2 linked regions of the Oryzias latipes genome follow. The protein of the gene in region 2 interacts with the protein of the main gene of each other region in a biochemical or structural test. Links are inferred from orthologs where the notes say so. Each region holds a gene or a part of one and is shown on either strand. Other genes may lie near its edges.

Region 1 (3,823 bases), on a different chromosome or scaffold from region 2:
TGAAAAGATTTTAAAGCAGGCAGCGATGGATCTGAAATCCTGAAAATCAGCAAAAAAACAGCGATGAAGACATCAAGACGTCAGCCGTTGATATGAATTCTGTCTTTTTCTTCTGTTAACAGGAACCAAATCAACTCAAACCCTCGAAGCTTTAGAACATTTTACTTTTCTACACATTAGATAAATGTAAAATAACAAATATATGCAGATGACACCAGTTTTTTCAACTAAACCAAGCTTTGATTTGGTCTAGAGATGACGCGACCTGTGACCCTGAAGCCCTTCAAGAGGAGCTGCCATTTTCAGGAGGAGAGAGCCTCCTGATGCTCGTCGCCTCCTCACGCTCCTCATTTTATTCCCTGAACTCCATCTGCCTGAACTTCTGAACCATCTCTTCAGGCTACTCGAACCTCAGCATGTTAAAGCTGTGTGTGTATGTGTGTTTGTGTGCCTCTGGAAACGCTTCTGAACTTCTGCTTCAAACAGAAACTAGAAATATTTTAAATCTCCTTTTTGACCCACTTTCAAATGAAATTCCCCCCCGTTTCTACAGAAAAACGAACGTCTAGAAGTGAATTTGACGTCTAAACTTTTATCTGAGATTTAGAAAAAGACAACCAAAAGAAAATACATGATAAAGACATCATTATTTTAATTTTATGATAAAAATAAAAAAGTGATTTTTTTTAAATACAAACTGCATGTTTACCAGTTTTAGATTTTCAAATTAAAAGCTGTGGACTTTAAAAGAAGGCAGGCTCCTGAAACAGAAGCCCATCCATCCATTTTTTGTACCACTTTGTCCCTTTCGGGGTCGCGGGGCTGCTGGAGTCTATCCCGGCTACTTGGGCGTAGGCAGGGGATGCCCTTGACAGGTCGCCAGTCTGTCGCAGGGTAGAAGGTCCACAATCACACACCCATGCACTCTCACACTCACACCTATGGACCATTTAGAGTTGCCAATTCACCTATGAAGCATGTTTTTGGACAGTGGGAGGAAGCCGGAGATCCCGGAGAAAACCCACGCATACACGGGGAGAACATGCAAACTCCACACAGAAAGGTCCCCCATTGATGTAGTGTTTTTCATGTCCCCCAGCCGGGACTTGAACCAGGGGCCTTCTTGCTGTGAGGCAAGAGCGCTAACCACTGCGCCACCGTGCAGCAGAAACAGAAGCGACACTGAATAATATCTAGAAATGACGGCAGTTTCTGTTTGATTTTGTGGTTTTCATCAAGTGTCTTTTGGCACACAGTCCTCCTCCTCCTCCTCTTCCTCCTCCTCCTCTTCCTCCTCCTCCACTTTCATGTTCTCATTAACACAGTATTTTCACTTCTGGTTTTTGGTATCTTTTTTTTACACAACCCCCTCATGCAAATAATGTTTTTGTAGATATTTATGTAAACAAATGGCTAAAAATATTGATAATATAATTTCACTGAATTTAACATACCTGCTAAAAAACGAATTATTCTTTATCTTTATAGAGAACATATATTTACAGAGTCACAAAAACTTTTATTGCTTTATATTTATTTTGTTTTTATTGCTGTTTTTCTCATCTCCTAGTTTGTTTTAGGCACACTTTTTTCATTATTTTTTATTATTTTTTTATTATTTTATCTCATTGTGGACGTGGAAACTGACGAAAGAAAATCTTTTCTAAGAAGCAAAAACAACTATTTATGATCTTGACTCAATTCTCTTTGTGCTTATAGTGGGCAATAAAGGTCTGCAGGCTGTGATTTGTGTACATTTAGTGCAGTTTTATTTAAAATAACGATAAAAACAAACCAAACAGAAGTCTTCTTAAATAGAACTTGAAATGAAAAGAGAGAAACTGAAAGGAAAAGGCTCTAAAATCTAAATCTTTGTCTTTCTTTAGAGTTTTGATATTTTATTTTGAAAATCATTTAGGTAACACACGCAGACGTGGAGTTAAAATTTTTCTTCACTTTATTCTGAAACTAAACTGTGTTGAAGGAAAGTTGAGTCAATCTATGATTGGAAAAGCTGCCTGGTTGCTATGGAAACGTCTTCCCTGCATCCATCTAAAACCTCTTAAATTGACCATTTATTGCGCACGCATCATTAGGAAAGCAGGTGGCGTGTACCTGTGCGGAGGCGGGGCTCCGGCTGTTGGAGCTGCCGTCCTTCAGGCAGATCTTCCTGGTCTTGGAGATGGACGTGGTTTTGTAAAACTCCACCAGCTTGTTCAGGGACATGAACTTCTCCGACCACAGGAAGTACTGGCCCTTGTTGTCCCTCATGACTTTGAAGTGCTGCACGTCGCTCTCATGCCTGAGCGGAGGCGGAGACGCGCATTAGCGTAGAGAAAGAAAAAAAAACCACCCTGGAGACTTGGGGGCGGGGCTAAAAATTCACCAGAAGAAGCAAGCAGACCTCAGATTTTTGTTTTGCTTTTTTAAAAGCATTTTCAGAAATACCTTTAAGCTTTTCCTGTTGGAGGAGAACTTCTCCACCTCTCTGAGATAATGTGGCTAACGTCTGCAGCGTGGACATGGATTCAAACCCTCGCCGTCCGTCCACACACTTCATGATCCACATTCGAGTGTGAAGGCTTTTACTCTGAAATTCTTTGTTTATCATTTTGATTTACTGACTTACTTTGAAAATCTGAAGGTAGAGACACGTCACGCTGACTTTTTTCTCATTTATTCTTTTGTTTTACGTCCATCTCTTCCATTTATAAACTACAAACTTAAAGAGCAGAAACTCCTGAGAATAAAGGGTGATTAAAAAAATGTTTTTGAGACCAAACCTTAAACCGACTAAACGTCTGACAGCAAATGAGCCAAACAGGAGAAGTGTTTGCATCAAAACAGATGTAAACAAACATTAAACCTCCTAATGGAGGTGTGAAGAGAGAAAAAAATCTTATTTTATGGACCCTACGCTCATTCAGTGACTCCTCAAAGGTCAGACGGGAAAATTCAACACTTTATTAACTATTTTAATCACATCGGTCACTGATAAACAACAAAAATCCCTTACTGTCTATAATTTTTTTAGTAAAAAACAAAGTTTGACAATAAATGAAGATATCGCTCAAAATAAAAATAAAAAAAACGGCTCAAAAGTTTTTTTGTTTTGATTCAAACGAAGAATCATAAATCCTCAATAAATTTCTACATTTTTTTTTTAGTTTGTGTGATTTTTAAAAGGAAACTGAGGAAATCCAGCCTAAAGAAAGAGGTTTGAATCATTCGTTAGTCGTGTTTGTCCTGAGACCTTCAGTTCTGCACTTTTTTCCGGCGGTGGGTCTCAGACTCACTCGACCGTCAGCTCGTTCCTGAACGCTCCTTCAGCCCAGCGGCGCCACCTACTTGACAGAGATGGAGAAGTCTCCTGGAGAAGTCTGGCAGCCTCGGATCACAAAGTCTCCCACGTCTCTGTGCCTCAGGATCTCCTCTGCGCCGCTGCGGCTGGTGTTCTCCTGAAACCACCTGAGCGGAGACGCCTGCAGATTATCTGATGCAAACGGCGGCGGCGGCTGCTGCTGCTGCTGCTGCTGCAGCTTCAACCGACACGTTCCAGCGCGAGAGCACAGGACGGTTCTTACGCTGGAAGCTGGATCTCCAGGTAGTTCTTCGGAACGTAGCCTTCCTGTCCGTTGAGCTCCGCCTTACACCACTCCTCTTCGAAGTTTATAATCTGCCACAAACACAGAAGAGAGCCGGTTCGGTACCGAGAAGCTGGGACGAGGGCCTCCGGCTCCGGAGCAGCACCAACCTTCAGGACGTCGCCCTTCCTGAAGCTCAGCTCGTCGTCCGCCGTTGCAGAGAACTCGTACTTCCCTCG
Region 2 (3,823 bases):
TTTTCTTATCTTTCATTCACAGGTAAGATTTCAGACTTCAGTTTGGTGGGGTTCTGTTTGTTGTTTTGGCCTTTGTTCAACTTGAAGCCTTTCTGCTTTACCTGTTAAGTTATTGTTGGTTTGGTATTTATTAATTGTAAATAAGTTTGTTATTTTGTATGGAGACAATCTTTTGGTGTTTTTTTCATTAAATTAAAGTGTGTGTGTGTTTTTGGGGGGGGGGGGGGGGGGGGGGGTATGTGAAGCTCCTATAGGTCCCCCCCAGACATAAAAACTTCACAAATAATAGATAATGGCTATTATCCCAAGCGATTTTTTGTATATCTCTAGAGTGCACACCAATTTAAAATCAAAAGTGTACCATTTTCAGTTCCAAAACTTTGTAACTGTTCATAATGGAAAGTTTTTTTAACTATATATAATGTTTTTATTTATTTTATATGATAATTCTAATTTTAAAAAAATAAAATATTCTGATAAATTTTTATTTGCAACATGCAATTCCAAAATACAAGTCTTCTCCCATGTTCCAAGTTTATTTTAAATTAGTACTTAGGTGGAATTGGCTTTGCAATAAAAAAAAAAAAAAAAAGTATCGAATGAAATAAATCTTATTAAACGGTCAATCAATCAGGGAACATGTTGATGACACTTTCACAGTGATAAACGGCTTGAAAAATAATTCTGAGCTGAATGAAAGTACTAACATATTTCAGGACCAATCATCTTTTGAATGTCATTAATGCAATATATAAAAATGACATTTTTGAGACTTGGTACCTAAGTTCTGAACCTGAACAGTGATCACAGACTCTGCTTTGCACCAATGAAGCAGCATGTAGTCCAGATATGAGCTATGTCCAGCTTAATTCATGTGTGAATTCCATATCCCTATAGGCGGTGTTCATTCTGAAGTTACAAGACACGGTTTATGCCGTGCAGAATTTCGTTGCACACTTAAATTAACCAGAAAATCCTAGTATAAACCACTACTCTGATCTCTTTTGGTAAAACAATCTCTTATTTTCCTTGAAAACGTACAGAACGCAGGGCAGGATGTGCTGCTCTCGGAGCGCTTTGCACACAGATGAGAGTTAGGGTGTAAGATGACACAGCTTTTCATTCACCTTATCGTGAGTGTGTCGTCTGAGCACACAATACATCTAATTTGTCCCCAAATGGGGTAGGGTTCCTAGTGTGTGTCGTGTAGTGCAGCCAGGCTTTTGCCTTAAACTTCTGCGATGAGCCACTAAACCAACGCTGCAGAATGAAGGTCTATAAGCATGAGAAGACAGTTTATAAACTGTCCCATTTTGCATGGAAAATACACTATGATCAAAAGTGCTTCGGTATAGGATCTTTCTACAGTTTAAGATTATTGAAACAAGGATATCAGAACTGTGGTCAGGTAAAGGTCTAGCAGAATAAATCTCAAAATAAATATTTACGAACACTATAATGATGTATCATCAGTGTCAGGAGCTTTACAGAATGCTATAGGAGGGTAAAAAGACCAAAAATGTGTGTTTATGTAACAACGACTCGATTATTCAAGGCCTGTCCTATGTGTACGGGTGAGAAGTTATGGAGTTTTAGGAGCAAAACGGGGTTTCTAGGCATCTTCATCTGCCAAACACACTGACAAGACATTGAAGCAGATTTGAGACTAATGGGTAAACTTTGTCAGCCTAAGAGCCTAACAAACCGTAAACTAATTTACCAGTTTGCTTTAGGAAATGAACACATAATTAGTGGTTTTTCCAACACTCCCAAACCAAGGACAGACCCATTAGTACACAATAATACAACAAGAGCAGAAATTAATGGCTTAAAAAAGCTCTGTAAAGATAGTTTTTTAGTTCTGATCTTGCACAGGAGGATGGTGGGTGAGTATGAGATGAAAGCATAGTTAGCCATAGCATTAGTCAACACTTAGTAGAGGTTTTATAGCACACACATCAATCACGAAGCAAGAAGACTAAGAACATGTGTTAAGGAGTCACCATCACACCTCCATGCAAGCACTCACCTTTACGGTCTGGCTTTAGATTACGGTCTACGGGCGGTGGCTGGCACTCACTGAGCACTGGCCTGCGAGGGGGGGTCTTTGGACTTAAGCGGAAACCCATGTGAGCGGGTGGGGGAACCTGTTTACCCAGGGAAGGGAACTCCACAGTGCTTGGGGTCATTGGTACATAGTTCGTTTCATTCGCTGTCTCTAGCAAACTGCCAGAGTGATGGTGCGATGGGGAATTGGCACTCATCGGGACATAGTTCTGGTCAACTTCTTCTGTAGAATGGCTCCCTAATGGCATCATTCCTTTGTTTTTCTGTTGATTGCATAATTAAAAAAACACTCTTAGTTCAAAAAGAACAAACCAAGCAAAGGATCGAAGTACAACAGTCACTTTTTAACACATATTCTGCTCTTTATATTGGTTGAATATTGATGTAAACATAGAATTTGAGAAAAAGGATTTTGGTAACAACTTCAAACATCAATAATTTACAAAGCTGTAGTCACTGCATTCTATCGTATAATGAGTATGGGTGCATGATGCTTTCCTAAGAGACAGAACGGGACTCATCCTTAGTGTAACTTGATACTACTTAAAAAGCTTTCAAAAGCCTGACAGCAGTACGGAGTGGAATAGTGTTTATGAGAAGTTTAATATTTCTGCAGTCTCTGCTGTTGCTTCACATCATTATTTGGTGAAGATAGTACAGACTATCCTCTCAATGCTCTTTGTGTTGCTTGAAGTGAGAAGTCCTGGACTCTGCTGTTTTTTGTTTGCTTTTTTGAAAAAACAGGCAGTTTGTTTTCTTCTTAGTAGAAAACCTGAACATGCTGGAGACTGCATTTCTACAAAGCAGCTACTGATACACACTTTTGTATTTTGCCAACAAAAGCCATTTGTGATTTTGATAAATCCCAAATGAGTCTTGTATGTGTATTTTACTTCCAAATTACACGGCTATGAATCATAAAATAACGACACAATGTGGTGACCCCTAAAGGGCAAAGCCCAAAAGCAAAGATACTTCGCTGGATCAACTTTGTTTACTTTGGTTAATTGAATTACGTCGTTATTTTGGCATATTTCAATTTGCAATTGATATGCTGCTATAATCTGTAGTCTTGTTTTCTTCAGCTCAAATACTTATTTAACTGTCAATAGTTACAAAACAGGAGTAGTAAGAAAATGTTACCAATTTAATATTATAAAATCTGGCAACCTTTTTAATAAATGAATTATTTTTAAAACATTCCGTTTCTAGAAATGTTCAGTCATCAACACAGGCTTACTAGCAGCCATTATTATAAGGTTAAAAAAAAAAACATCCACCTGTAACTTTGGTTGCAACACTTACAAAATAGCATTTGAGGTTTTCGTTGAAGTCAAATGAATAGCTTTTATCTGTGGGGAATGGTCTAGGAATGTCATAGAAGTCCTGGGATCCAAAATCTGCAGAAACAAAACCAAACAAAGTATTAAATATTTGCAGCAAATGTCTTACTGGAACAGCACAGTGCTCAGTCAAAATGTGATTTGATGGGAAAAATACGAAATTTTCAAAAAATATTGCTGTTGTGCCTCACCGCCATGTTTTCATTTTTAGGTGTTGATCTGAATGTAAACTAAAACATTAAGAGAAACCATGTCCAAAGGACATAAAGTACTGTGCAAGTGCACACGGTTTATCAAGCATAAATTGTAAATTATTGGAAAGAAGAAAAACAAACAAGTCTCAAATGTAAATCAATCAAAAAGCCACATTACAGTATATTTATTCAGGTTAGTGATAGTTCAGCATGAATCTG

The links.
Region 1: the proteins of gab1 (region 2) and growth factor receptor-bound protein 2 form a complex in vitro, tested with the Homo sapiens proteins (2 studies listed by BioGRID and IntAct, with this or other methods). The link is inferred for Oryzias latipes from reciprocal best matches to the Homo sapiens genes GAB1 and GRAP2.

Annotation. Positions count from the first base shown.
Region 1 is NC_019866.2:2,931,084-2,934,906, reverse strand, and holds part of growth factor receptor-bound protein 2, read right to left. Parts: coding exon 3,755-3,823; intron 3,677-3,754; coding exon 3,585-3,676; intron 3,469-3,584; coding exon 3,349-3,468; intron 2,303-3,348; coding exon 2,116-2,302; intron 1-2,115. UniProt on the Homo sapiens protein: Interacts with SLP-76 to regulate NF-AT activation. Binds to tyrosine-phosphorylated shc.
Region 2 is NC_019859.2:18,110,799-18,114,621, forward strand, and holds part of gab1 (GRB2-associated-binding protein 1), read right to left. Parts: intron 3,468-3,823; coding exon 3,373-3,467; intron 2,331-3,372; coding exon 2,030-2,330; intron 1-2,029. UniProt on the Homo sapiens protein: Adapter protein that plays a role in intracellular signaling cascades triggered by activated receptor-type kinases. Plays a role in FGFR1 signaling. Probably involved in signaling by the epidermal growth factor receptor (EGFR) and the insulin receptor (INSR).